Linked DNA regions of Oryctolagus cuniculus. The main gene of each other region encodes a partner of the protein of the gene in region 3 in a complex. Links are inferred from orthologs where the notes say so. Each region holds a gene or a part of one and is shown on either strand. Other genes may lie near its edges. The genes, in order: TCERG1, SPAG5, PLK1, MIS18A, CDC25C, MIS18BP1 and KNSTRN.

Evidence for each region.
Region 1: the proteins of PLK1 (region 3) and TCERG1 are in contact, whole or in part, in a crystal structure (PDB 3Q1I), measured with the Homo sapiens proteins. The link is inferred for Oryctolagus cuniculus from reciprocal best matches to the Homo sapiens genes PLK1 and TCERG1. Residues at the interface, in NP_005021.2 of Homo sapiens: Lys413, Trp414, Val415, Asp416, Tyr485, His489, Leu490, Leu491, Arg516, Phe534, Phe535, His538, Lys540; in NP_006697.2 of Homo sapiens: Pro101, Pro102, Pro103, Met104, Ser105, Ser106, Met107.
Region 2: PLK1 (region 3) and SPAG5 share a complex: the UniProt entries of both Homo sapiens proteins name them as parts of the astrin (SPAG5)-kinastrin (SKAP) complex. The link is inferred for Oryctolagus cuniculus from reciprocal best matches to the Homo sapiens genes PLK1 and SPAG5.
Region 4: the proteins of PLK1 (region 3) and MIS18A are in contact, whole or in part, in a crystal structure (PDB 8S30), measured with the Homo sapiens proteins. The link is inferred for Oryctolagus cuniculus from reciprocal best matches to the Homo sapiens genes PLK1 and MIS18A. Residues at the interface, in NP_005021.2 of Homo sapiens: Lys413, Trp414, Val415, Asp416, Asp419, Leu490, Leu491, Arg516, Asn533, Phe534, Phe535, His538, Lys540; in NP_061817.1 of Homo sapiens: Ser50, Met51, Trp52, Ser53, Ser54, Met55.
Region 5: the proteins of PLK1 (region 3) and CDC25C are in contact, whole or in part, in a crystal structure (PDB 3BZI), measured with the Homo sapiens proteins. The link is inferred for Oryctolagus cuniculus from reciprocal best matches to the Homo sapiens genes PLK1 and CDC25C. Residues at the interface, in NP_005021.2 of Homo sapiens: Lys413, Trp414, Val415, Asp416, Tyr417, Tyr485, Glu488, His489, Leu490, Leu491, Arg516, Phe534, His538, Lys540; in NP_001274511.1 of Homo sapiens: Leu126, Leu127, Cys128, Ser129, Thr130, Pro131, Asn132.
Region 6: the proteins of PLK1 (region 3) and MIS18BP1 are in contact, whole or in part, in a crystal structure (PDB 8S31), measured with the Homo sapiens proteins. The link is inferred for Oryctolagus cuniculus from reciprocal best matches to the Homo sapiens genes PLK1 and MIS18BP1. Residues at the interface, in NP_005021.2 of Homo sapiens: Lys413, Trp414, Val415, Asp416, Tyr417, Asp419, Tyr485, Ser487, Glu488, His489, Leu490, Leu491, Arg516, Phe534, His538, Lys540; in NP_060823.3 of Homo sapiens: Asn73, Ile74, Phe75, Gln76, Ser77, Thr78, Met79, Leu80.
Region 7: PLK1 (region 3) and KNSTRN share a complex: the UniProt entries of both Homo sapiens proteins name them as parts of the astrin (SPAG5)-kinastrin (SKAP) complex. The link is inferred for Oryctolagus cuniculus from reciprocal best matches to the Homo sapiens genes PLK1 and KNSTRN.

Annotation. Positions count from the first base shown.
Region 1 is NC_091437.1:33,947,069-33,951,095, forward strand, and holds the start of TCERG1 (transcription elongation regulator 1), read left to right. Parts: upstream 1-1,227; 5' UTR 1,228-1,306; coding exon 1,307-1,365; intron 1,366-1,961; exon of another isoform or gene 1,962-2,094; intron 2,095-3,739; exon of another isoform or gene 3,740-3,891; intron 3,892-4,027. UniProt on the Homo sapiens protein: Transcription factor that binds RNA polymerase II and inhibits the elongation of transcripts from target promoters. Regulates transcription elongation in a TATA box-dependent manner.
Region 2 is NC_091448.1:44,093,542-44,097,041, reverse strand, and holds part of SPAG5 (sperm-associated antigen 5), read left to right. Parts: intron 1-1,137; coding exon 1,138-1,212; intron 1,213-2,150; coding exon 2,151-2,243; intron 2,244-2,327; coding exon 2,328-2,462; intron 2,463-2,665; coding exon 2,666-2,785; intron 2,786-2,871; coding exon 2,872-2,964; intron 2,965-3,064; coding exon 3,065-3,178; intron 3,179-3,500. UniProt on the Homo sapiens protein: Essential component of the mitotic spindle required for normal chromosome segregation and progression into anaphase. Required for chromosome alignment, normal timing of sister chromatid segregation, and maintenance of spindle pole architecture.
Region 3 is NC_091450.1:15,668,720-15,672,219, reverse strand, and holds part of PLK1 (serine/threonine-protein kinase PLK1), read left to right. Parts: intron 1-328; coding exon 329-548; intron 549-3,500. UniProt on the Homo sapiens protein: Serine/threonine-protein kinase that performs several important functions throughout M phase of the cell cycle, including the regulation of centrosome maturation and spindle assembly, the removal of cohesins from chromosome arms, the inactivation of anaphase-promoting complex/cyclosome (APC/C) inhibitors, and the regulation of mitotic exit and cytokinesis.
Region 4 is NC_091435.1:12,609,061-12,612,560, forward strand, and holds part of MIS18A (protein Mis18-alpha), read left to right. Parts: intron 1-1,083; coding exon 1,084-1,206; intron 1,207-3,500. UniProt on the Homo sapiens protein: Required for recruitment of CENPA to centromeres and normal chromosome segregation during mitosis.
Region 5 is NC_091437.1:26,133,040-26,137,328, reverse strand, and holds the start of CDC25C (M-phase inducer phosphatase 3), read left to right. Parts: upstream 1-1,489; 5' UTR 1,490-1,716; intron 1,717-4,289. UniProt on the Homo sapiens protein: Functions as a dosage-dependent inducer in mitotic control. Tyrosine protein phosphatase required for progression of the cell cycle. When phosphorylated, highly effective in activating G2 cells into prophase.
Region 6 is NC_091443.1:30,696,404-30,699,903, forward strand, and holds part of MIS18BP1 (mis18-binding protein 1), read left to right. Parts: intron 1-560; coding exon 561-641; intron 642-1,263; coding exon 1,264-1,748; intron 1,749-3,500. UniProt on the Homo sapiens protein: Required for recruitment of CENPA to centromeres and normal chromosome segregation during mitosis.
Region 7 is NC_091443.1:63,572,886-63,576,385, forward strand, and holds part of KNSTRN (small kinetochore-associated protein), read left to right. Parts: intron 1-704; coding exon 705-810; intron 811-1,036; coding exon 1,037-1,130; intron 1,131-1,707; coding exon of another isoform or gene 1,708-1,781; exon of another isoform or gene 1,782-1,843; intron 1,844-3,042; exon of another isoform or gene 3,043-3,148; intron 3,149-3,294; coding exon 3,295-3,350; intron 3,351-3,500. UniProt on the Homo sapiens protein: Essential component of the mitotic spindle required for faithful chromosome segregation and progression into anaphase.

The DNA.
Region 1 (4,027 bases), on a different chromosome or scaffold from region 3:
CTCACTTCTTGTTTTGTTGTGTGTTTTTTTTAAACATTCTTAGAACTGTATCTTGAAGCTACATTTAATCTGTTAAAAACTGAAAAATAAAAAGGAAATGTAACTAAAAAAATTAAAAATTCATTAAAAATTTTTTTTATTTGAAGGGGAAAGAGGGAGAGACAGACAGAGACATCTTCCATTCTCTGGTTCACTCCCAAAATGGCCACAGGTCAAAGCCAGGCACTCAGAAATCCATCTGGGTCTCCCACGTGGTGGGGGGAGGGCATTGGACCATCATCCTCTGCTTTCCAGAAAACTGGATGGGAAATAGAACAGCCTGGACTTCAACAGGCACTCTAACATGGGATGCTGGCGCTGCAGGTGGCAGCTTAACCTGCTGTGTCACAACGCTGGTCCCATGGTGGTGGTGGTTTTATTTTTTTAATTGTATGGAAAGTACTGGTATACACTGTTAAGTCTGAGTAAAATTTATTAATGCTTTGAGCTCTTTATTAATAGGTTTGCTTTCATCTTGTCTTTGCAACTCCAGAGCCTCAGCCGTCTTTTCCCCTTTAATCGAAGAATAAAAGAAATATTTAGAGTTCTTTTTGGGTAGCAGGGTGTGCCAATTTCAGATAACTGCATTTTGAGATTGAAGGAGGACGCTAAGGCTGTGTACTGCTAAGAGGCTGGCTTCTCCAATTTACTTTTTCAATAAAGCAACTCAGAACACCCATCAGATGCAACTAATTAGTACAATTTTAGGAGGTCTTCTTGTAATCACCAGATATTATTTCATAAACTGGATACACAGCCGAGTGCTGACTTAAGACTCCAATAAGTCAAATAGCGAAAACTCCTTCCGCCTCAACTCTATGATTGGTTTAGGCGCGATCCAGGTCTTTTTTGATTGGCTCACCCCGTGGAAATGCTTTCGGCCTGAGCTACTAGTGGCCAATATGGCTCCACAATTGGGTCTCCTGGAAGCCGGCAGACACGTGGCTACTTCACGCTGGGCGAAACGTGGGAGGACCTAGTTTCGCTTACCGCGAGAGGGCGCCGGTGGTTCCTCTTTGCTAAAGTCTCATTTCCCATAAAGCCTCCGAGCGACCAATCCTCTGGCTGTCTCCATACCGCTTTCAAAGTCGGCGGGTCCTTTGTCCAATAGTAAAGCAGATACCGCCTCCACCTGGAGGATGGATAGAAAGCTTCACCAATCATCTCATAGACTTCCGCTATCTCCGCCTCTCTCGCACGGGATTGACGATCCTTCCGGCCAATAGGTGGCGTCGGGTCGGCGGGTGGATGAACGCGGCCCTCTGTAATGGCGGAGCGTGGCGGGGACGGGGGGGACGGTGAGCGATTCAACCCGGGGGAGCTGAGGTAAGGGGCGCTGCCCTCTCGCACATCTCGGCGCGCTGGACTCCCAGTGGCTAGGCCTGCTCGTGGAGATCCGGAGCGGACGGTGGGCAGCAAGGACGGGGCGGGTTGGGGCCAGAACCGCATGGGGTTAGAGAAGGGGGAAGGGAAGGTGGCTTGAATGAGAGCCGGGCCGGGGCCGTGCCGCGCGGCCTTCTGCGCGGTCTCGGGGTGCTCCCTGCGGCTTCCGCGGGGCCCAGTTGTCCGTCGCGGCCTGCAGGCCGGGCCGGGCGCTCCCGGCTTGGAGCCCCACCTCAGCCGCGTGCCGCCTGGGCCTCTGCCGCCCTCCGCCTGCCTTCCCGGCTCGGCTCGGCCGCGGCCCGCTTCTCCCCATCGACGTCCCTAGGCGGTGCGGTTAACTCCCAGGGGCCTCTCCCGTCTCTGGCTCAGCCTTCTCCACGCCCTCCGGGCCGTCCACGTTTGCTGTTTGATCTCGTCCCCCACCCCCACCCACTTGCCTTTCTTAACTTCCTGTGGCTTGTCTCCCTCGGTCTCTCTCTATCCCTCCGTATCCCGGAGCTGTGAATAACAAAAGCGGCAGCGGGGGGTGAGGCGCTTACTTGGGGCTGTCTCTCCTCTCCTGCCCGAGCCCACCCGCTGCAGGAATTGGTGCTCCGGCTCTGTAGGCCCCAGCGCCGAGGGCCCTTCGGCCAAGTTGCTCGCGCGGCTTACGGATGAGGAAACCGAGCCTCGTAGGGGTTTGAGTGCGGGGTTAAGACCGCTTGGGTGGAGCAGGTTAAGCCGCGGCAGGCAGGCTATGGACGTGCAATTTCGGGTAATTCTGTTCTTCTCCTCCACCCCCCCCCCCCCCCACCCGTGCTCTAAAAAAGGAGCGCAGTGACCTTCCTTCCTCGGGAATTCAGTGCCTGCGGAGTTTGTCGTTAGAGTTTGATAAGAAAAATGTGACCAGGATAAAAAACAAGCAACAAGCCGGTTTTTGAGGGGATGGGAAAGAGGTCCTGTGCTTGATGTATATCTAGTGTACTTTCTCCCCACCCCCCCACCCCCGCCCCGATGGGAGAAATGTCATTTCAGATGTTCAGCTGACATTCTGAATTGTGCCGTTGTCAGCGTTTAAAATTGAAAAACGCAGTGGAGATGATGACGAGTCTAATACTGTCCAGAGCTTATTGTTAGAGTTTTAGGAGAAGATAATGTCTTTCAGATTCTGCAATGTTAGGCACAGAAATTTCTACTTTGGCAGTACTTATTTCAGAGGTAGTTCTTAAGCCCATCAGCCCCATATGCACAGTGGTTAATGAGTGAACAAAGTGGGTAGTGGGTATCTTCCAGTGTTAATGGTGGAGCTTGTTCTTGATGCTGATCTCAGAAGATTACTGCTTGGCTAGTCTCAGATGGATTGATTAGGTAACATTGTTTTATGTTTCATGGAGTGTTTTCAGCTGTACAGTCATAGCCTTTTAGACTATTTGTAAACTAGATATTGCAAAACTGATTTAGGTAGGGCATTAGATTAGGTGTGCTGTTGCAGGTAGTTTAGCCTCTTGGGTTGGAAGTTGCAGAGCGTGTGGATAGACCTTTGTTTTAGCATTTATCATGATTTATGAGAAATTAGCTGTTCATGTGTTCTGTGCTGGCAGAAGTTTGGACTCAGTCTTTATAAAAATCTATCCTGGATGTATTTCGTGGCTGTGTCTATCACAGTGGCAGACAGAATAATCTATAGATAAATAAATGAAGACAGGAGACTTAGAGGTGGTACCCTTGCTGGCCTGTGTTCATGAGGCAGTTACAGACCTGGATGCTGGCAGTAGATCCTGAACCAAATCATGAGAGGCCTTTGCTCTCCCCTTTGTTTCCATTCTAATTGAGACTGATCCAGATTCTGAACTAAACCAACCACATGAAATGAAAAACCCAATGTGCAAGTTTGAAATGACTTATCCAAAGTCGATGGGTAGTGGCCAGGGTTTAGACTGAAACTTAGGTCTCCTTACTCAATTATTGTAATTTGCCTCCCATGTACATCTTGCCCCTCCAGTTAAAGTGTTTGCAGTCTAGTTTTCACCATTGAGATTGCCTATCTATATAGAGCACTCCTAGAAAAATGTTTGTATTTCCATGGTGTTCTTGTGAATTTTTGTTTGTTTGTTTCTAGTCTCATAGATAGTCTTTTGCTTCCCAAAAAGGTTTTAAAGCAGCAGGAAGTACAATAGATGGAAATTCAGAGATCCAAATGCCATCTGTCCCTTTATGGTTGAGGGCCATTAAAGTAACTTTCAAAGTCATGTTTATCTAACACATACAAGTTCCCATCCAGTGGTTCACAACTTGATTCATGTCTCCACTACTTGAGCCATTATCACTGCCTCCCAAGGTGTACACTAATAGGAAGCTGGAATGGGGAGCAGAACCTGGAACTGAACCTGGACCCAGGCACTCGGATTTGGAATGCGATGTTCCAGCTGCCAGCTTCATTGGTCCAGCAGAGGCCCACCCAGTAGAGTCATATTTACATGGATCCTTAGGGTATGTGTTTTCCTATTAATACTTAGGACGTGAAGTACTTGCAGTCTAGATTTTCTTGCCTGTAGAAATGAGAGTAAGAATACCCTGCTGTTAACTATTGACCAACTGTCTTAAGCAAATTGTTTTTCTGTGCTAT
Region 2 (3,500 bases), on a different chromosome or scaffold from region 3:
GTAGAGCAACCAGGACACAAACTGACACCTAAATGGGATGCTGGCATCGCAAATACTGGCTTTAATCACTATGCTGCAACACCTGCCCCTATTTTTAAATCATCGTAATCATTGGGGGTGGCTGCTGTATTATTGGTTAAGAATCACTGCTCTGAGCCGGCGCCGTGGCTCAATAGGCTAATCCTCCACCTTGCGGCGCCGGCACACCGGGTTCGAGTCCCGGTTGGGGCGCCGGATTCTGTCCCGGTTGCCCCTCTTCCAGGCCAGCTCTCTGCTATGGCCAGGGAGTGCAGTGGAGGATGGCCCAGGTGCTTGGGCCCTGCACCCCATGGGAGACCAGGAAAAGCACCTGGCTCCTGGCTCCTGCCAGGATCAGCGCGGTGCGCCGGCTGCAGCGGCAGCCATTGGAGGGTGAACCAACGGCAAAAAGGAAGACCTTTCTCTCTCTGTCTCTCTCTCTCACTGTCCACTCTGCCTGTCAAAAAAAAAAAAAAAAAAAAAAAAGAATCACTGCTCTGGGACCAGTGTTGGCATAGCAGGTAAAGCTGCTGCCTGCAATGCTCGCATCCCATGTGGGCACTGGTTTGAGACCCAGATGCTCCACTTCCCATCCAGGCCCTTGCTGATGTACCTGGGAAAGCAATGGAAGATGGTCCAAATGTTTGGATCCCTGCACTTACATGGGTGATTTGGAAGAAACACCTGTCTTGGCTTCAGCCTAGCCCAGCCCTGGCCTTTGTGGCCATTTGGGGAGTGAACCAGCAGATGAAAGATTCTCTTTCTCTCTCTCTCTCTCTTTCTCTGTGTAACTCTTTGAAATCAAATAAATAAATATTTTTTTAAAAAATCACTGCTCTAGGTATTGAAATTATTAATGATTTCTCTTTCCGTTTTTATTCATGTTTATATTTTCCAAAATGTTGCAATAAACACGTACTAGTTTTTTACGTATGTAAGAAGAAATTTTTTTTTTTACCTGTGTCTTGATTTGTCTTTCTGACTTGACTTCATCTAGCCATGAAACTCATACCTCCTTTTAACAGGAAAGGCTCCTGTAACTCACTGGGTTGGGAGGGGACTGAGGTTCCTGTGGTATATGCTGCTATCTCAAAAGGAACAACTGTGTTTCTCTACTAGATAACTAGGGAACCTCAATATCTTCAAGAGAGCCAAGAGATTGGACAGGCCTTGCAGCAGGCCAGGAATGTCATGGTAAGTGTTGATTGACCTTGTAGCATTTCTGGGTCTCCCATAAAGATAAAAAATGGAGATCTGGAGCATGGACTATGGCATAGCTGGTTAAGCTGCTTCTTGGGATGCCAGTGTCCTGTATTAGAGTGCCTGGGATTGAACACCATCTCTGCTTCCCATCCAGCTTCCTGCTAATGCCCTTGAAAAGCAGGAAGTAATGGCCCAGGTACTTGGGTTCCTGCCATCCATGGGAGACCTAGATGGAGTTCTGGGCTTCTGAGTTCCTGGCTTTGGCCTAGCCTAGCCCCAGGTTTTGCAGGCATTTGGGGACTGAACCAGTAGATGGAAGATCTGTCTCTCTGCACTCTGTGCCCCCAACCCTGTCACTTTGCCTTTCAAATAAATAAAACTTAAAAAAAAAAAAAAAAAAATGGAGAATATGGGATGGGCATTTGGCCTAGCAGTTAAGATGCATGGTCAAGATATCCATGTCCCATGTTAGAATGCCTGGGTTTGGTACCTGCCTGTGGATCCTAACTGTAATTTCCTGCTATTACAGACCCTGGGAAGCAGTGGTGTAGCTTGAGTAATTAGATTCCTGCCGTTGACATGGGAGATCTGGATAGCATCCCTGGTTCCTGGCCCTAGCCCCAACCCCAGCCCAATTCTGGCCATTGTAGGCATTTGGGGAGTGAACCAGTGGATTGGAGCGCTCTATTGATCTATCTGCCTGCCTCTCAAATAAATAAAAATTAAAAGAAAAAAAGGGTGGGGAATCCTGGTTGGTTAATAGATGGTGATACACAGCTGTGGGGGTGAAGAGAGGCTTCCAAACCTTGGTGAATGATGTCTCCTTATTGGAAACTTGGAATTGGGGCCAGTGCCTTTCCTCCCCCGTTTGCCCTGCTTCCTTCTTAGTGACTGTGCTTGCTGTAGCCTAACCATTTTCCCCTCTACAGCAATCATGGATGCTAGTTTCTAAAGAGCTGACATCCCTGCTTCACCTGTCCCTGCTGCACTTAGAGGAAGATAAACTCACTGTGAGTCAGGAGGTAAGCAGCATGGAGGTAGAGGCGTTGGTGGGATTGAAAGCCAAGAAAAGGAGCCAGACAAAGCACCTGATTCTTACTTTGTAGTCTCGACATGCAGAAACACTGGTCTCCTGCTGTTTTGATATGTTGAAGAAACTGAAGGCAAAGCTCCAGAGCCTCAGTGCAGAAAAAGAAGAGGCAAGGCACAGAGAGGAAATGGCCCTCAGAGGCAAGGATGCGGTAAGGTGCCAGGTGCCTGTCCCCGGACTGGGAGGGCTCTGCCTCACATTTCTGTAGGAATGCGCTGGAGACACAGACGAGTGGCCTACAAAGTGCCTGCCCTGGGGAATAGACTGAACTAATGGGGTGCTGGATGGCCATGGCTTTTTGTGCTGTTTCCCTCTGCTGCCCATTATGTCCTTTCAACCTCTTTCCTAAAACAGGCAGAAGCAGTGCTGGAGGCTTTCTGTGCACATTCCAGCCAACGCATCAGCCAGCTAGAACAGAACTTGACCTCCATGAAGGAATTCAGAGACCTCCTGAAGCAGACCCAGACCCAACTGGTAACTGAAAGGCATTTTCTTTCCTGGGGTTCCTGCTGGTGCACTTGTATGTTGCTGCCCCTTCGTACGCAAGCCTTCCCTTGTAGGTAGAGCTTCAGAAAGAGCAGGAAGGGCTGATCCAGCAAACAGTGAGTCTGACTTCTACCTTGCAACAGGACTGGCTATCCATGCAACTGGATGTGAGTATTTGGGGCTATCATAACCACTCACTCATAAGGCAGCCCTGTTAGGAGCCTTGCTTCAAGTGTGTTCAACTGACTTGCCTGCTTCCTCTGGTAGTACACGACATGGACAGCTTTGCTGAGTCGGTCTCAACAGCTCACAGAGAAACTCACAGCCAAGAGCCGGCAGGCTCTCCAGGAGCGTGATACTGCAATTAAGGATAAGCAGCAGGTACAAACCAGGAGTGGAGACTTCTTAGGACTGCCTTCCTCCTTTGCCGAAGGCCTTTCTGTTGTGTGACATCATTAGCCTCTTACTCTGTACCTGTCTGCTTCTTCACCCTGGGAGTTTGGAGACCAGCCAACTCCTTTAGCTGTGAGATGATGGCCTTGAGCCTAGTTGTTTGCTTTGCTCTTCAGCACCTTCCTCGCTTCAGCAGTTTTTCTCCTGTCTACGTCTTCCTAAGGATGAGCCTTATTTTCTGTAGTGTTGCTGTCTGGGATCAAGATAACTTCCCGTCTTGTCCAGAAAGAGAAGCTGGTCTAGATCCTGG
Region 3 (3,500 bases):
TGAGGGCAAAACGGTGTTTAAACAGGTGCAAGACCTCAAAGCCTGTGTCCTCAAGGCGCTGCAGTGGAGACGAGCAACTTTAGGTGTGCAAGGGCAAGTCTGGGGGAAAACAGCTTAATCTGGAGTTCCAAGAGGGAAGAAACGTGATCCTTCTCACTCGTCAGCTCCGTGAGGTCGATAAGGGGGAGCTTGGCGATGTTCTTAGTTGTGGAACCATGGCTTACTTGAGACCCGGAGCTGCCCTGTGGGCTGTGGTCCCGCTATGACAGCACTGCTGTCCCAGTCCACGGCCACGCCCGGCTCAGGGCTTTCTCTGTCTCTGCTCCAGCACATCAACCCTGTGGCTGCGTCCCTCATCCAGAAGATGCTGCAGACAGACCCCTCTGCCCGCCCGACCATTAACGAGCTGCTCAGTGACGAGTTCTTCACTTCCGGCTACATCCCTGCCCGGCTGCCCATCACTTGCCTCACCATTCCACCCAGGTTCTCAATCGCTCCCAGCAGCCTGGACCCCAGCAGCCGGAAGCCTCTCACCGTCCTTAATAAAGGTAAAGCAAGGGGAGGGTCAGACACAGAACCCCAGAGAGAACCGAGGCCCCTAATATCACTTCTTCATGCTTCATTGAAGGAGACAGGAACAGTTTCAAATACACACCCTGAGCAGGCTGTGGGAGCCTCCAGGTCCCCACCATCTGAGCAGTCACACCTGCCCTGCGGAGCCTTCCCTGTTTCTCTGATATATTCTTAAAGTTAACCTCAGACATCTTGCCATTGTACCCATAACTTCAGTATGCGGCTTCGATTTTCTTAGGAAAATCTAACGTCACGTGCCATTACCTAGGTTGTCATTTCCTCTGGGTCTCTTCTATAGGACAGAGTCAGGAAATACTTACTTTAAAGGGGGACATCTGGGTGTATGATAATGTTTGCGATTCCCTTTTTCGTAGCATTTTATTTTGCTATTATTTCAAGGTTAAAAAAAGGTGGAAGAACAAACAGGAAGCTCCTCTTCCGTCTACCCTGTTCCCTAGATCCACCAGTTGCCATTTTTTTTTTACATTTACTTTTATCTTCTTCCTCTACCTCCCACGTATACTGCACATGAGGGTACTTCAAAAAGTTAATGGGAAAAAAATGGAATTAGAAGTTTATTTTGGTGCGAAGTTGAACCTGTAGTTTTTCATAATACAGGTTTTTCCATTAACTTTTTGAAGACATCATTCATTTGCATTGCATGCACACAGAATTGTTTAAAAGTAAGTTGTGTATGTAAGTATTCCATTCTTACCCTTAATACTTCAGTGTGTATTTCCTAAAAACAAAGATTATTTTATATAACCACAGTGCATAACAGTTATCAAGCTCAAGAAATTTAACATGGATACAATATAGTTTTAGAGCAATCTTCTTTTTAAAATATAGACTTATTTATTTTATTTGAAAGAGTTACAGGAGGAGAGAGAGATCTTCCATCAGCTTGTTCACTCCCCAGATGGCTGCCATGGCCAGGGTTGGGCCAGGCCGAAGCCAGGAGCCAGGAGGTTCATCTGAGTCTCCCATGTGGGTACTGGGGCCTGAGGACTTAGGCCATCTTCCACTGCTTTCCCAGGTGCAATATCAGGGAGCTGGATCGGAAGTGGAGCAGCTGGGACTAGAACCAGCGCCCATATGGGATGTCGGCACTGCAGGCTGCAGCTTAACCCGCCACGCCACAGTGCTGGCTCCAAAGATATGTTGTTTTGTTTTTTTTTTTTAAAGTAGCTTGAAATACTTCCTCTAGGTGTATCTCAGTTTGATAGACAACTTAAGTTCATTTGTTTGTTAGTTTTCAATATTTAGGGATTACTTTCTAGAATTTTATTGTAGAATAACTTTAGGCTTATACAGAAATTCTAAAAGATAATAGCAATTGCAGAGAGAGTTCCCATATACCCTTCCCTTGGCTTCCCGCGCATCAGCGTGTTGTGTAACCACAGAGAAGGACTAAAACACAGGGCAGTATCTTTTCTTTTTCTTTTTTGAATTCTACTTTTCACTTTGTAAATTTTTTTTTAAGATTTATTTGTTTTACTTGAAAGTTAGAGTTATGCAGAGAGAGAGAAGGAGAGGCAGAGAGAGAGAGAGAGAGAGAGAGGTCTTCCATCTGCTGCTTCACTCTCCAGTTGGCCACAATGGCCGGAGCTGTACCGATGCAAAGCCAGGAGCTCCCCGCTTCCCGGGTCTCCCACGCGGGTGCAGGGGCCCAAGGGCTCAGGCCATCTTCCACCACCTTCCCAGGCTATAGCAGAGAGCTGGATAGGAGGTGGAGCAGGCGGCAGCTTCACTGCTCCCCCTCAGCGTCGGCCCCGGTAGTTTCACACTCCAGGCTGTCTTGGGCCCTCGTCAGGTTTTCCACTTCCGCTCTTTCTGTGGATTTGGAGTTCCTCGCGCTCACACTGAGGTTCTAGACTTTGGGGGAGTGCAGCAGAAGTGATGCGCCCTTCTCCGTGGACTCTGGTTTGTTTCGTGGGTTTTTTTTTTTTTTTTTGGACAGGCAGAGTTAGAGAGAAAGGTCTTCCTTCCATTGGTTCACCCCCCAAATGGCCACTACGGCCGGTGCGCTGCACCGATCCAAAGCCAGGAGCCAGGTGCTTCCTCCTGGTCTCCCATGCGGGTGCAGGGCCCAAGGACCTGGGCCATCCTCCACTGTACTCCCGGGCCACAGCAGAGAGCTGGACAGGAAGAGGAGCAACCAGGACAGAATCCAGCACCCCAGCCGGGACTAGAACCTGGGGTGCCAGCACCACAGGTGGAGGATTAGCCTAGTGAGCCGCGGCGCCGGCTCCATGTAGTCTATCAGGGGTACACATTGATTTTTTTTTTCTCTTGTTAGTGGTGGTGTTTATTAACTGTGATCACTTGGTTACCGTGGCATCTGATGGGTTTCTCTTATTTTTATCTGAGAGAGAGAAAGCTCTCATCCACTGGTTTGTTGCCCAAATGCCTGCAACAGCTGGGTCTGAGCTAAGGCTGGAGCCAGGAGCTCGGTCCAGGCCTCCCATGTCAGTGGCAGGGACCCAGTTACTTGAGCCATTGCCAGTGCCTCGGAGGGTCTGCATTAGCAGGAAGTGGTGAGTCAGGTGACACGCAGGTGTCCTAACCGATGTATGACTGCTAGGCTCAGTGTCCCGTGCCGAGTTTAGCGCCCACGGCGGGGCCTGCCTGCAGCAGTGCTCACTGTGTTCTCGTGCTCTTTCTTTTCCCTGCTCCTGCGTTTCACTAGTTGGCCCTCTAAGGAAGAGCTGGCCCTCTCCTTGTTTGCTTATTTATGTCAGTAATGAACTCAAGGATTGTTTATTTTGTTCTTTGGGCTATATTAATATAATACTGGGGTTTTTTAAGGATTACTTTTCAGTTTAATTTTGAACTTACAGCTTTTTTTAAAAACAAAAAACTTCATGGATGTTTTCAACTTTACCCAAAGGCAGAGAGAAGTGTGCCGTGACTCCCCACGTGTTCGT
Region 4 (3,500 bases), on a different chromosome or scaffold from region 3:
ACACATCCGAGACTTTTTAAAAACCCCTTAACGAGGGAGCTGGAAGCTGGTTCAGGGTCGGCAGATCGAGTTATGGCCCCTCAGCCTTTGGGGCTTGCTTTGCTACTCACAGGGATGGTTTGTGTCCCTGCCAGACTAAACTCACTTACGGTGCATTGGTGGGCTTTCTTCAGGCTGTCATTTAACTTTAGAGGCTTTTTCTAAACTGGGCTGTGTTAGCTTTCTGCCAATGCGGGGGCAGGCAGAGGCCCTGGGCTGGATGCCTCTCTGTGAACCCAGGTGATTGAGTTCTGCAGTGTCTGTAAGCTGTTTTCGTGCCGTGACGGCAGAGGCCAGTAGTAAGGATTAGTTATTCTCTGCGTCATTACACAGGAGTTGCCTCTCCCTGCCGTTGTTGGGCTCCTTGGACAATGGCATTAAAAGGACGCATAGAATCTTTTTGTCTTATTTCCCAATTTTCTTTATAATCAAAGAGTTTACATTCTTTATTTTTCTTAAGATTTATTTATTGAAAGATAGCATTACGGAAAGAGGGAGAGAGAGCTTCCATACGCTGGTTCACTCCCCAATGGCCACAGCAGCCACGGCTAATTCAGGCTGAAGCCAGGACCTGGAACTCCATCCGGGTCTCCCATGTGAGTAGCAGGAGCCCAAGCATTTGGACCATTTTCTGCCACTTTCACAAGCATGTTAGCAGGGAGCTGGATTGGAAGTGGAGCAGCTGGGACTTGAACCTGCCTCATATGGGATGCTGACATCTCAAGCGACAGCTTAACCTGCTGGGGCACAGCCCTGGCCGCAGAGTTTGCGCCGTAACACATGCACTTGATGGTCTCCTCCTCTTGTTGCCGTGTGCATGTTCCTGCCGTCAGATGTGGATGGCAGTGTGGCTGTCCTTGCATTTCTATTATAAATGTCTTACTCTCATCTTTTTCCTTCCTTATATGAATACATGTAACTAAACATGGTCAGAATGACAAACCCTGGAAACCTGAGTGTTGAAGCGTTTGTGGGTGCCAGCAGTGGGTGTTCTGTAGCAAGTTGCTGCTTTGCTTCCTAAAGCGGTGCTATGTCTTTACGCAGCGTCCTCGAGACCCTGTACTGCGTCGGCTGCTCCCTCAACCTCGGCTACATATACAGATGCACCCCCAAGAGCCTTGATTACAAGAGGGACTTGTTTTGCCTCAGTGTTGAAGCCATTGAAAGGTAAGTTTGATATTTAAGTGACCGCTGGGTAACTGACCTCTCAGAAAGTTAAGTTTGCAGAGAAATTGCTATGAAGACGTCAGAGCTAAACCACGCTTAAACGACATTTCCAGGTAGTACTTTCTGACATTAAAGCCAGTTAATTTCTCTCTCTGTCTCTCTGTTTTTCTCTTTGCTTTGCTCTAATTTTTTGATATTGGAAAAATCAGCACTCCTAAATTGTGGCTTTTTTTTGGAGTAAAAATATGTTCTTTTTTGTTTGTTTGTTTTTTGACAGAGTGGACAGTGAGAGAGAGACAGAGAGAAAGGTCTTCCTTTGCCGTTGGTTCACCCTCCAATGGCCGCCGCGGCCGGCGCACCGCGCTGATCCGATGGCAGGAGCCAGGTGCTTCTCCTGGTCTCCCATGGGGTGCAGGGCCCAAGTACTTGGGCCATCCTCCACTGCACTCCCTGGCCACAGCAGAGAGCTGGCCTGGAAGAGGAGCAACCGGGACAGAATCCGGCGCCCCGACCGGGACTAGAACCCGGTTTTGTGCCGGCGCTGCAAGGCGGAGGATTAGCCTAGTGAGCCGCGGCGCTGGCCTGTGTTCATTTGTTTTTAAAAATGGAATGAACTTGAGAAGGATTCTTTTTAAGTATTTTCTGGGGCTATGTCTCAGTGGTTAAGTTGCTGCTTGGGATGTCCCCAACCCATAGGACAGGGCCTGCTTTAATTCTGATGCAGCTTCTTGCTGATGTAAACCCGGGAGGCAGTAGATGCTGGCTCAGGTACTTGGGTGGGTCCCTATTACCCATGTGGGAGACACAGACTGACTTCCAAGCTCCTGGCTTCGGCCTGGGCCAGCCCTGTGTGTTGCAGGCATTTGGGGAGTGAACAGTGGATGGAAGGTTCCTGTCTTTCTCTGCCTTTCAAATAAAATGAGAGTAATTTTTCTAAAAAGCGATATTGTGTTACAGAAGAAAATACGTGGGAGGTTTTACTGCAGGAGATCATGGTTGTCAAGGCTGTTTTTCCTGAACAGTTGATTTTAGGAGACAGGCTACTTCTTGGGCAGAATTTTTTTTAAAAAAATAAGTTTGTGTGTGTGTGTATTTTTTAGATTTATTTATTTGAAAGGCAAAGCCACAGAGAGAAGCAAAGCTACAGAGGGAGAGAGTGAGGAGAGAGAGATATTCCATCTGCTGGTTCTCTGCCCGAATGGCTGCAAGGGCCAGGGCAGGACAAGGCCAAAGCCAGGAGCCAGGAGCCCCATCTGGGTCTCCCACATGGATGCAGGAGCCTAAGGACTTGGCCATCTTCTGCTGCTTTTCCAGGTGCATTAGAGAGAGCTGGATCGCAAGTGGAACGTTAGGGACTAGCACCAGCACCCAAGTGGGATGCTGGATTTGTAGGTGGTAGCTTAACCGGTTATGCCACAGCACTGGCCCCTTGGGGTGGAATTGTAATGCCAGGGCTGCCCTCTGTGCCATTTATTTACAGTTTTATCAGTTGCTCGGTGCCATGTCATTTTCCCACCGCATCTTTGGTTTTCTAAGTAGGATGTCGGTTGCCTTCTGCAGTTTGCCTACCACGCTATTTTCCTCTGCCTTGCCAGGCATATTGGCAGAAAGCTGGAGCAGAGACAGAGCTGCGGGGACTCCCGCCAGCACTCCGCTGTGGGATGCCGGGAGCTGGCGCCACAGCCCTGGCCCCTCGAGTTTTCTTTGAGAGATGCTGGCATCTCCGTCCTTACTGTTTAGATGTAGCTGGTTGCCAGCCCAGAGCTGGTTTCCCTCCATTGCCAGCTGATTCTTCTGCTACTTCCTACTTTCCTAAACCATCGCATCTTGTAACAATGAGAGGCAAACACAGTGTAAGTTGGAGAATAACTGTTACAGTTGCTGACATTTGGTTAATCAAGTATTGACCACCACAATTTATTACTTAAAGTCTCATTTAGGAGCAGGTGTTTATCCTACTGGTTAAGGCAGCTGTGTTCCACATTGAAGTCCCTGGGTTTATTTTATTTTATTATTATATTTTACTTTAAGATTTATTTTATTTATTTGAAAGTCAGAGAGAGAGAGAGAGAGAGGTAGAGCCAGAGCCAGAGAGAGAGAGAGGTCTTCCATCTACTGGTTTCCTCCCCAAATGACCACAGTGGAGCTGAGCTGATCAGGATCCAGGAGCCTCCTCAGGGTCTCCCATGTGGGTGCAGGGACTTGGGCCATCTTCTACTGCATTCCCAGGCCATAGCAAAGAGCTGGATTGGAAGTAGAGCAGCCAGGACTCGAACTGGTGCCCATATGGGATG
Region 5 (4,289 bases), on a different chromosome or scaffold from region 3:
TTCTATCACTTCTGCTCTTGGTTTCTCAACTCTGCCCTAAAACATAAACCAGAGAGGGAACCTAATTGCAGGCTTTTACCCCAGAGACCCCAGGCCTCAGGCTGCCCAGCCACGAGGCGCAGGGAGTGAAGCAAACTCTTTCAAGCTTTTCATGAGGCATTTGGACAAACAGCGAACTTGCAGCCCTCGCTAGGATCAAGTGAAGAGAGTGATTTTGTGTTTTTCTGCATTTTAATTGTTGGGATGTGGCCACACACAGCGGTAACTGGAACAATGCAACTACCAGCACGCAACTGATACTCTCGGCCTGAGTCTCCTAAAACAGGCCAGGCTGAGAGGGGGAACAGAACGGAAGCCATAAGGAATCAAACCAGGACACAAAAGAAGGCAAACCAGCTCCACGAGGGGCCTCCTCTTTCTCAAGCAGGCACTGAAAAAAGTGCAAGAAGCCCTCTCCTGCCTGCCGCCTTCCTTCCCCTTCCATTTTGTGTATCTGGGGGCTAGGGACAGTCCTGAACATTCACTGAACAAGTTAAAACTTCTCAGCTTAACAACTGGCACAGGGCTCAGCCCTGCGCCGAGCAGCAGGCCGCTGCGCCCTCCCTGCAACCGGGCCCAACTCTCAGACCAGGCTTTCCCTCCTCACCACCAGCTCCCCAAAAACAAAGATCAAATCCCCCAGCCCATGGCCTACTGGTTGGCAGAACCCCTGACACCCGAGCCTGAGGGATGCTGAGGCTGTGCTAAAACCTGGGCAGCCCAGGACCAGGTCAGGCCAGGGGGGAGGCGAGACTCAAATCCCCGGAGACCTTCGCCCAGGTCTCAGCCCACTCCTCTGGGGGAGACAGAAGGAAAACACGAGGGAGACAGGGAGGTGCACTAACAGGTAAGTGGGGGAACCTGACTGCTCTTCCTCCATATGGTGTGGTGGAGATAGGAGTGACAAGTGGGGAGCACCCCTCCCCCCACCGATGAAGAAGCAAAAGGCTTGCCCCCCCCCACCCCAATCTTCCACCTCTCCCTCTGTTGCCCTGCATGTCCCCGCGGGGTGGGGCTTGGGGCATCCGGGGCCCCTGGGGGGGGGCGCCAGGCCTCGCTCAGGGGGGTTGTCGCCCGCCTCTTCCCACTCCAGGCCCATCATCTGGCCGCGGGAGGCGAACTCAGAACGCAGGGGATGGGGAGGGTCTGGGACTTAGCACTCCGCCACCCCCTCCCCCACCGGGTCCCGTGCTCTCCCCGCGGAGGCGGCCTGCGAGGCCGGGCCGCGCGGGCGGCCGGGCTGGGGGAGGGGAAAGAGGGAAGGAGGGAGGGACGGTCGAGGTGCCCGCCCCGAGGCCCCAGCGCCACCTGCCCTCCGCCACCTACCGCGGCTCCTCCAGTTCCCAGGGCCGCGGCCGGAGCAGCTCTGAGCGCTCCGTTCGCCCCACGGTGCCCTTAAAAGGCGCCGGCGCGAACCAACTAGCCCCTAAGGAGCGTGGGGGGATGATTCCGGTTCGCGGAATCACTGGAACCACCCGCGGAGGCCCAGACCCAGCGTCGCTTGTCTCTTAAAGTCTTCCTCCGACAGCGCTGTCGGAAACGAGCCTGGCACTTTGATTCAGGGACAGGGGATGCTTCTTCAGTAACGAGTCACCCCCTCCAAAATATCGGTGAAAATGGATGGGCCCAGTTGGAGGCATATCTTCAAATCCGCGGGGGAGGCCATGTCGGACGAAGGTAAACAAAGCCATCATCCCTGCCCTCCATTCCCACAGCGGCTCAACTGCAGCCTCCCACTCGGTCCGGTCCGGTGATAGAATTAGCCACGGTGCCTCTCACCTGCTCTCTTGCCCCGCCCTCCACGGCTACTTCTCTGGAGGAATCCCCCTTCCCCCAGCAAAGGACCAGTCCTGGGCGCGAAGGCTGCTGGGAAGTGTAGTCCAAGCGCCGATTAGGGCCTGCTCCGAGTCCCAGGAGCCGCTCTTCCAGATACCGGATCGGCTCGAACCTTATAAATCCAGCCCTTAGAACGGTTGCGGGGACGTTCCCGCTTGGTTCTATAGTTTGCCCTTACCCAGCACACTTTGCAGAGCTAAGGAGGGCCCAGGGCCGTTCACTCCCTCCCCTCCCGCTATGCCCCCCTCAGCAGGATGAGGTAATGGGATTGTGATTATGACATCATAGGCGGTTCAGTGGCTTGCGGGGGAGGGGGGAGCGGGGGAGCACGGTGGTTACAGCTGGACCACTTTCCTTAAGACAGGGAGCGTGGAAACGGGCAGATGGGAGAAGATGTTGGCTGCGCTATGTTCCTCGAGGAAACCACCTTTTATTAAAGTCTCCATCATTATCACCACCCCAGCAAAGTTTTTTTTTTTTTTTTTTTTTTTTTAAGAAACTGAATGTATGCGTTAATAGGTTGGTTAGGTGGTTTCTGGCTGTTAGGTAGATTTCAGTCTCAACATCAAGGATGGCGCAGAGAGGGGCAGGTAGGTAGCTCCAGCTGGGACTCCCACACCCCGTACGGGAGGCCCACCCTGGGGCAGCAGCAGGTGATGGCTTAAGTTCTTCGGTTCCTGCCACCCATGCAGGAGACCCGGATGGAGTTTCTGGGTCCTGGCTTCAGCCTGGCCCAAACAACGGCAGTTGCTGCCATTTGGGGAGTGAACCATTGGATGAAGGGTATTTTTCTTTCTGTCACTCTGCCTTTCAAATCAAATAAAAGTAAATTAAAAAATTTAAAAAACGGTTTAGAAAGACAAGCAAAAAAATGGGAAAAAAAGGTTTGAAATAACACCTTTGGATTATGAGTTCTTTGTAGGGCAGTGTTTTACTTTTAGTGTTTTTTTTTTTTTTTTAATTTTTTAATTATTTGAGAGAGAAGAACAAGAGTGAGAGCAAGTATTCCCATCCCTGGTTTCCTTCCCAAATGACTACAATTGTTAGGGCTGAACCAAAAAGTCAAAAACCAGAACTCCACTCAGCTCTCCTACAAGAGTGGCAGGAACCCAGTTATGTGAGGCATCTCCAGTGCCTCCCATGGTCTGAATTAGCAGGAAGCTAGAGTCAGGAGCCAGAGGTGAGTACTGAACCCTGTACCTTGTATCTGAGGTGCACTCCTTAGCTACCAGGCCAAACACTGCTGTCTAGATTTCTGTTAACATTGATTGGAAATTAATAGTAATGCAGGTCATGTTCATTATTAACACTCGGCAGCAAGCTCCCCGAGAGACCTATGTTTTCCGTAAATATTTTCAGCCCTACTCAAACCTGGGACAGGTAAAAGCTTTGATCAGCAAGAAAGCAGAGCCAGTGATGGGGAATCTTGCTTGCTGAGCCAGGAAAGGAGACAAGCAGAAGCAACCGAATCTGCAAACTGAAAAGGAAGAGTAAAGGGAAAGCGAGGTATCAGCCGAGAAAGTGGCAGTGGACACATTTGCCTTGCAGTGTACATCCCCGTTAGCAAAGGAGAAGGGGCAGAGGCAGGGCCATGAAGTGTAGGGGAGGTGGTTTCTGTGACTGCACACATAGGATGTGCCAGATACCATGCAACGTACTTCAAACATGTATTCTCATTTTTGCGTGCAATCACCAAATGAAAAAAAAAAAAAACACAACTCCTTATTTCACAGATGAAAGAGCCGGAGAAGTTAACGGACTGCTCATGGGTAGGCAAAAGTAGTCTCAAGAAGCAGTCCAAGGCTCTGAAGCCCTGCCTTTCACCACTAGGCTGTTCCCCTTTTTATTATTAACCTTGCTTACTAAAGTTAAATGGTTGAGTAAAAGAAGTTAAGGTGGCATTGGCTCATTTGCAAAACACTGAAAGAAATTGTGATGCTTAAGAAAAGAAAATCCCTGCAAGTGACATCTCAGGCCTCTTTTCAAAGGAAGGCTACATCCTTCAAGTATAAAATAATTCACTGCCTCCCCCCCACCACAGCCTAACACTCAACACTCCTGCCCACAATTAAATGTCTTTCTGCCACCTTTTGTTCTCAACATTTTTTTTACTGATGTCCTACTATTTTTCTTCCTGCGCCCCCCCCCCCTTTATTCTTCACTTTTAGGCTACTACTTGGAATCCAATCTTTTTATTCTTTCCCCAATAAGCCTTTTATTGAAGAAATACAAACATCATGCATTTCAAAAGTGCAACTGTAGGATAGTGATTCTTCCCACCATACCCACACTGCCACCCTCCTCCTCTTCCCTCTCTCACTCCCAGTCCAATTCTCCACTAAGATCCATTTTCAGTTAACTTTATACACAGAAGACCAACTCTATACTAAGTAAAGGGTTCAACAATTTGCACA
Region 6 (3,500 bases), on a different chromosome or scaffold from region 3:
TACTAAAATAGAGAATGAGATAAAAGGATGAGAAAGTAATAAAGGTAAAAATTTTTATTACTCTCATGTTGCAAAAGCACATTATAGTGGTCTGATCATTACTATATCTAAGTATCTTTATTTCATGATATTCAAATGATAGTTTTGGGAACAGCATCATGGCATAGTGGGTTAAGCTGCCACCTGCAACACTGGTACCCCACGTGGGCACCACCAGTTCAAGTCCCAGCTGCTGTACTTCTGACCCAGCTCCCTGCTAGTCTGCCTGGGAAAGCGGCAGATGGCCTTCCAGGCCTTCAGGAGACCTGGAAGAAGCTTCTGGTTCCTAGTTTCTACCTGGCCTAGCTGTAGCTGTTGAGGCCATTTGGGGAGTGAACCAGTGGATGGAAGATTGATCTCTCTCTCTCTCTCTTTTTCTTTCTGCCTCTGTAACTCTGCCTTTCAAATAAATAATAAATCTTCAAAAGAAAAAGACTATATCTGCTAAAAAAGAATAAATAAAATGACAGGTTTTTCTTCTCTGTGCCTAATTCAATTTTTGAAAAAATCTCAACCTCTAGAGTCATCAGAATTCCCTCTGGTAAAGCAAAAGATTCAACACCAGGAGGTAAAGAAAGCAGTGCAGCACAATTTAACTTACGGTAAACTTTTGATTTTGTTTTGCTTTTAAGTTTGTTACTTGAATGTGTTGTTAGATGTTCTAGGTAATTATATTCCCTGGGTAGATATTAAGCATTGACTGTGGACAAAAGCTTCGACTGTAAAGTTTAGAGGCACTCAGAGAAAGACTGGGCAGGAGGGTGAAGTGTTATCTGAAGATTTTTTTTTATATTGAACAGGTTTTTTTTTTAAGATTTTTATTTATTTATTTGAGAAGTAGAGTTACAGGCAGTGAGAGGGAGAGACAGAAAGGTCTTCCTTCCATTGGTTCACTCCCCAGATGGCCACAATGGCTGGAGCTGCGCCAGTCTGAAGCCAGGAGTTAGGTGCTTCTTTCTGGTCTCCCATGCGGGTGCAGGGGCCCAAGCACTTGGGCCATCCCCTACTGCTTTCCCTGGCTATAGCAGAGAGCTGGAGTGGAAGAGGGGCAGCTGGGACTAGAACCAGTGCCCCATATGGGATGCCAGCACCTCAGGTGGAAGATTAACTTACTGCGCCACGGCACTGCCCCAATATATTGAACAGTTTTAATTGACTCCTTTTTTGTTCTTTTATTGCATATGGTCGTTCTATAAATTTTGTTTTGTTTTGCATGTTTTGCAGAATTTCCAGTTCTGAACCAAGAACAAGAAAATATTTCAACTACAAAAGTCTCAAACCAGGCATTATTCAGAGCTCAGTTGACTGAACAAATTCTTCACCCCAGGGAGAATACGATTGCAACCACTCAATCCAAAAAGGACACTTTTGTTATAGAGAACAGTGAGTCAGCCTGTGAAAAATTCCAAAATACTAATACTGAGACTCTTAGTACAAATTGTGTTCCTACTAAGAATGGCAGTCAATTAATGGTTACTGATAGTGAGATGACAACAGAAGGAACTTCACAAGAAGAAATTAAGGACAAAAATGAAAAAACAGTGCCCAGAGAGATTGATCTTATAGATTCCATGAAAGATACATGTAAAATTATATTGGCAAGTCCAAGACTTCATGTAACAATACCTCGAAGGTCAAAAAGAAATGTTTCCAAGCTTTCTCCTCCAAATGTGTTTGAAGCAGTTACGGATGAAGTTAAAAAAACTCAGGTGGGAAAACTTTTAATGTAGATATTTTTCTCCATGTTATTGAAGAGCTTAAGCTCTTATATTCTGACATTGTTGATGGTAACTTCATGTTTTGTTCTTTACTGTACCAGCATTGTGGCCCAGTGAAAATAACTGGGCTAGAAGTAAGAAGATCCAGGTGTTAAAATTTTTTTTGTTGTATTAGGAACTGTGGAGTTTCTAACAATTATGTCTTGTGTGGCATGAACATTGAATTCATTCCTGATTTTTATTGTTTTTCTTTTTGCCCTGATCCTTGGGGCACTTACTATTTTTTTTTAAGATTTATTTATTTATTTGAAAGGCACAATATCAGAGGGAGAGATAGATATCTTCCATCTGCTGGTTTACTCTCCATATGACCTGCAGCAGCCAGGGCTTGACTGGGGCCCAAGCCAGGAGCTGGGAACTCCGTTCTGCCCCCCACTCACCATTTGAGTAACAGGGGCCTATGCACTTGGGCCATCATCTGTTGTCTTCCTAGGTACCTTAATAGGAAGCAGCATCAGAAGCAGAGTAGCTGAGACTTGAACTGGCGTTCCACTATAGGGTTTTATCATCACAAGCAGCAGCTTAACCTATTGCACCGCAACACTGGTCCTTGGGGTACTTGGTATTAATAGAACAATTGAAATAGAAACAAATTATATCATCTGAAGATTTGAAAATTTTCCAAGTGTAAAGTAATACAGGATGCTCAGTAAGATTTTAGAGCTTAGTTACATTAGGATAAATTCTCTGAAGAAGTAGAATGGAAATATAAATAAGCTAATAAGTTCAAAGAGAAAGGTAAAATTTCCAATTATTACAAGTTTGTCCATTGATTTTTAAATGAATAATGATGGATAGCATTGAGATTTCATCTAAATTTGAAATAGTGATATAACAACTATAGTTTTGTGTCAATATATTTGCTAGAAATTATAATGTTTGCAAATACATAAACTTGTGATGAAAAATTTTAGACATTGACTTAAAAATGGTTGAACAAGGCCGGAGCCGCGGCTCACTAGGCTAATCCTCCGCCTTGCGGCGCCGGCACACCAGGTTCTAGTCCCGGTCGGGGCGCCGGATTCTGTCCCCGTTGCCCCTCTTCCAGGCCAGCTCTCTGCTGTGGCCAGGGAGTGCAGTGGAGGATGGCCCAAGTGCTTGGGCCCTGCACCCCATGGGAGACCAGGATAAGTACCTGGCTCCTGCCATCGGATCAGCGCAGTGCGCCGGCCGCAGCACGCCAGCCGCGGCACACCGGCCGCGGCGGCCATTGGAGGGTGAACCAACTGCAAAGGAAGACCTTTCTCTCTGTCTCTCTCTCATTGTCCACTCTGCCTGTCCAAAAAAAAAAAAAAAAAAAAAGGTTGAACAAGAAAGTTTGAGGACAGCTACTCTAAGGGACACCACAGTAGTTGCTATAAGAATTCTAAGCTTCTCAAGCAGGACTGTTATCCCTATGTACTCATAGTTCTATAAAGCCCCTAATTCTGACTCATTCTCTTACTCATCTGCAATTCTCCAGATATTGCATTGGTACTTTCTTGAGCTATGTAAATGTTATGACTGCTATTACCTGTCTTCTCTCAACATTTCTTAACTTTGCTCTAACTAAAATATGACTTCCACAAACAGCTGATTAAAGAGGTGGCTCTTTTTCTTCCATACCCAACATTCTGTTTGACCTGGAGATGATATAAGGTATGTTTGTCTTGCTCCTCATTGCTCCATGGGCCATTCTTTTTT
Region 7 (3,500 bases), on a different chromosome or scaffold from region 3:
TTTGTCACTGACCTGTGTTCCTGAACAGTGAAACATGATATTACATGCCTGAGGAATAGTTTCTTTTGATAAATAATTGACAAATATGGAGGGGGAAGGGAGACTGAGAATTTCAAAAAGAAGTTTTGAATATTGATGATGGTAATGGCTACTTATGAAATATTCATTGTGGACCAGTAGGCAGGTTCTGGATCATTCATGTTATCTCCCTTATTTTTTAAAGATTTATTTATTTGATAGTCAGAGTTACACAGAAGGAGAAGCAGAGAGAGAAAGAGAGGTCTTCCATCCGCTGGTTCACTCCCCAAATGACCACAACGGCAGGAGCTGGGCCGATCCGAAGCCAGGAGCTTCTTCCAGGTCTCCCACATGGGTGCAGGGGCCCAAGGACTTGGGCCGTCTTCCACTGCTTTCCCAGGCCATAGCAGAGAGCTGGATTGGAAGTGGAGCAGCCCAGACTCAAAAACATCACCCATATGGGATGCCGGCACTGCAGGTGGCAGTTTTACCCACTATGCCACAGCGCCAGTCCCTCTTATAATAATATGAACTGCGAATATTATCCTATTTTAGAAATGGGGAAACAGAGCCTTAGGGAGGTTGGGCAGCTCACTGTAGATCATCCACTATGATGTGGGGAACCCTGTTTGTGTAACTCCATAGCGTACATTCAGTCCCCCTCCATGTAAATACACCTGTTGCAGTTATAAACCACTGGGTAAGCAGAAATCAGAGGAAGAGCTCAAAGACAAGAACCAGCTCTTAGAGGCCGTCAACAAGCAGTTGCACCAGAAGTTGACAGAAACTCAGGTGAGAAGCCCACCACACCTCTGTCACTAGCTGCCACTGGGCACTGCGTGTGCGGTCTTGAGGGATGGCGCTCTGGGGAGGAGCAGGCTTGCAGTGCCTGACTGCCTGACCGCACAGAGAGAAGCAGCCAGGCTCGTGCTGGCGCTGTCCAGGAGCAAGGGGGAGGAAGGCTGTCTACTCGTGGAGTCTGGGAGGGTTCCCGACTGACTGTGCGCCACCACCACAGGGAGAGCTGAAGGACCTGACCCAGAAGGTAGAGCTTCTAGAGAAGTTTCAGGACAACTGTTTGGCAATTTTGGAGAGCAAGGGCCTTAACCCAGGTAAGAGAACACACACAGCTGCCTTCAAAGAGAACAGCACAGGTCCACCTTCCTGAGCTGACTAGCAGTGTGGCATCAGCTGGTCCAGGCAGGGCAAAGGTTGCATGACAAAGCACTAAAGTGCTTTGAGAGCTTCTGTTTGTTTCCATACAGTGTTCATTTGGCCTGCCCGACAGAATTTCAAATGACTGAAGACAGAAACATCTTTCTTTCTCTTCTTTCTTTTCTTTATTTGAAAGGCAGAGTTACGGGGGTTGGCGGGGGGGGGGGGGGGGGCGGGTTGGAGAGTCAGAGAGATAAGGTCTTCCATCTGCCAGTTCATTCCCCAAATGGCCACAATGGCTAGAGCTGACCATGAAGAAGCCAGGAGTTTCTTCCAGGTCTCCCACGTGGGTGCAGGGGCCCAAGGACTTGGGTCTTCTTCTACTACTGTCTCAGGCACATCATCAAGAAGCTGGATTGGAAGTGGACCAGCCAGGATTGAACCTGCACCCATATGGAATAGGTGCTGTGCCAAGTGCTGGCCCCTATCTCTTTCTTATCTAAACTCTTTATGCCATTCATTTGGTGCCAACAGGTTTAAAGTTGCAAACAGACCAGAAATATTTTGCTCCTTTCATGGGAGATAACAGCATGCTGGTGACTCCTTGATGGCAAGAGGTAAAGGAGAATACTTTTGCAAGGGGTCCTGAACCTAGCTAGTCACAGAATCCAGCAGATTCTGTGGTTGACATGGGACTCAAGTTCTGACCCTGTCCCTGGACAGCAGAGTTTAGCAAAGAAGAGACCGGAAAAAGGAGTTGCCCAAAGAGTGCAAGAGGAGCCACAGAATGGCCAGAAAAGGGCTGAGGCCTCGTGGAATTGAAGAATGCCAAGTCTGAGGCGAATGTTGAGCCCAACAGTTAAGATGCCTGCTGTAGGCCGGCGCCGCGGCTCACTAGGCTAATCCTCCGCCTAGCGGCGCCGGCACACCGGGTTCTAGTCCCGGTCGGGGAGCCGGATTCTGTCCCGGTTGCCCCTCTTCCAGGCCAGCCCTCTGCTGTGGCCAGGGAGTGCAGTGGAGGATGGCCCAGGTGCTTGGGCCCTGCACCCCATGGGAGACCAGGAAAAGCACCTGGATCCTGGCTCCTGCCATCGGATCAGCGCGGTGCGCCGGCCGCAGCGCGCCGGCCGCGGCGGCCATTGGAGGGTGAACCAACGGCAAAAGGAAGACCTTTCTCTCTGTCTCTCTCTCTCTCACTGTCCACTCTGCCTGTCAAAAAAAAAAAAAAAAAAAAAAAAAAAAAAAAAAAAAGAAAAAAAAGATGCCTGCTGTGGCCCAGGCTTCTGACTCCAGCTTCCTGCTAATGCAGACCCTGGGAAACAACAGTGATGGCTCATGTAGTTGGGTTCCTGTCACCTCATGGGAGACATGGAATGATTAGACCAATGATGGGAGCTCTGTCTGTCTCACTCTTTCTGCTTCTCAAATAAATGTATTTTTTTAATTTATAATAAAAAATGCTGACTGTGATTAACCTGTGGGTTACAGGTTTAGGATATTCTTTGCAGTAACTGTAAACATTTTGATGATTTAAGTTAACTGTGTGCACACACTGTTAACGAAAAACAACAATTTTTTAAGGCTTGAAAGGCTTTTAAAAACAGTTTTGTAGGGTAAGGGTTTAGCCCAGCAGTTAAGACACCTGTATCCCACATCGGAATGCCCAGGTTTGCTTAAGTAATTGGGTTCTTGCCAGTCACATGGGAGACCTGGATTGCTCCGGCCCAGCCCAGCCCATCTCTAGCCATCGCGGGCATTTCTGGAGCTCTGTCTGTGTGTTTCTCTGTCTCATTGCAAATAAATAGATCATAATATTTTTTAAAGGTAGTTTTTATACTGTAAACAAAAAACTACATTTTCTTTGTACAGATTTTCAGCTGGGATAAGGAGAGTAGAGTGATTTTTTTGGCATACTGAAATCTAGAGACACGGGGGAAGTGCAGCAGCTGTGAATGGCGTGGGTGACCCTACCAGGGTGAGAACGCGGGAGAGAACGTCTAGGACTGGACACTTAATTTCCCTCATGAATAAAAGCCCTTCTGTCCCTGGTGGGGCCTCTGCTTTCTTTTGTTTAAAGTAAGTGTGCTAAATGAGGCTGACTGTCATACCCATTGGTTTTAGGCGGTGAGACCCTGGTGCCACAGCAGACCCCCGCCACGGATCACACAGACTCTATGGTGAGGGTTGGGTGTGAATGGGTCAGGCCGAGGGATTCTGGGCCTCTGGGAGTCTCAAAGTCTCCCCCATGTGCACAGCAATCCTCAGAAGTAATCTTTGATTGTCCCCGATAGGAGAGAACGACCAGACATGTACTCAATATAGCATAT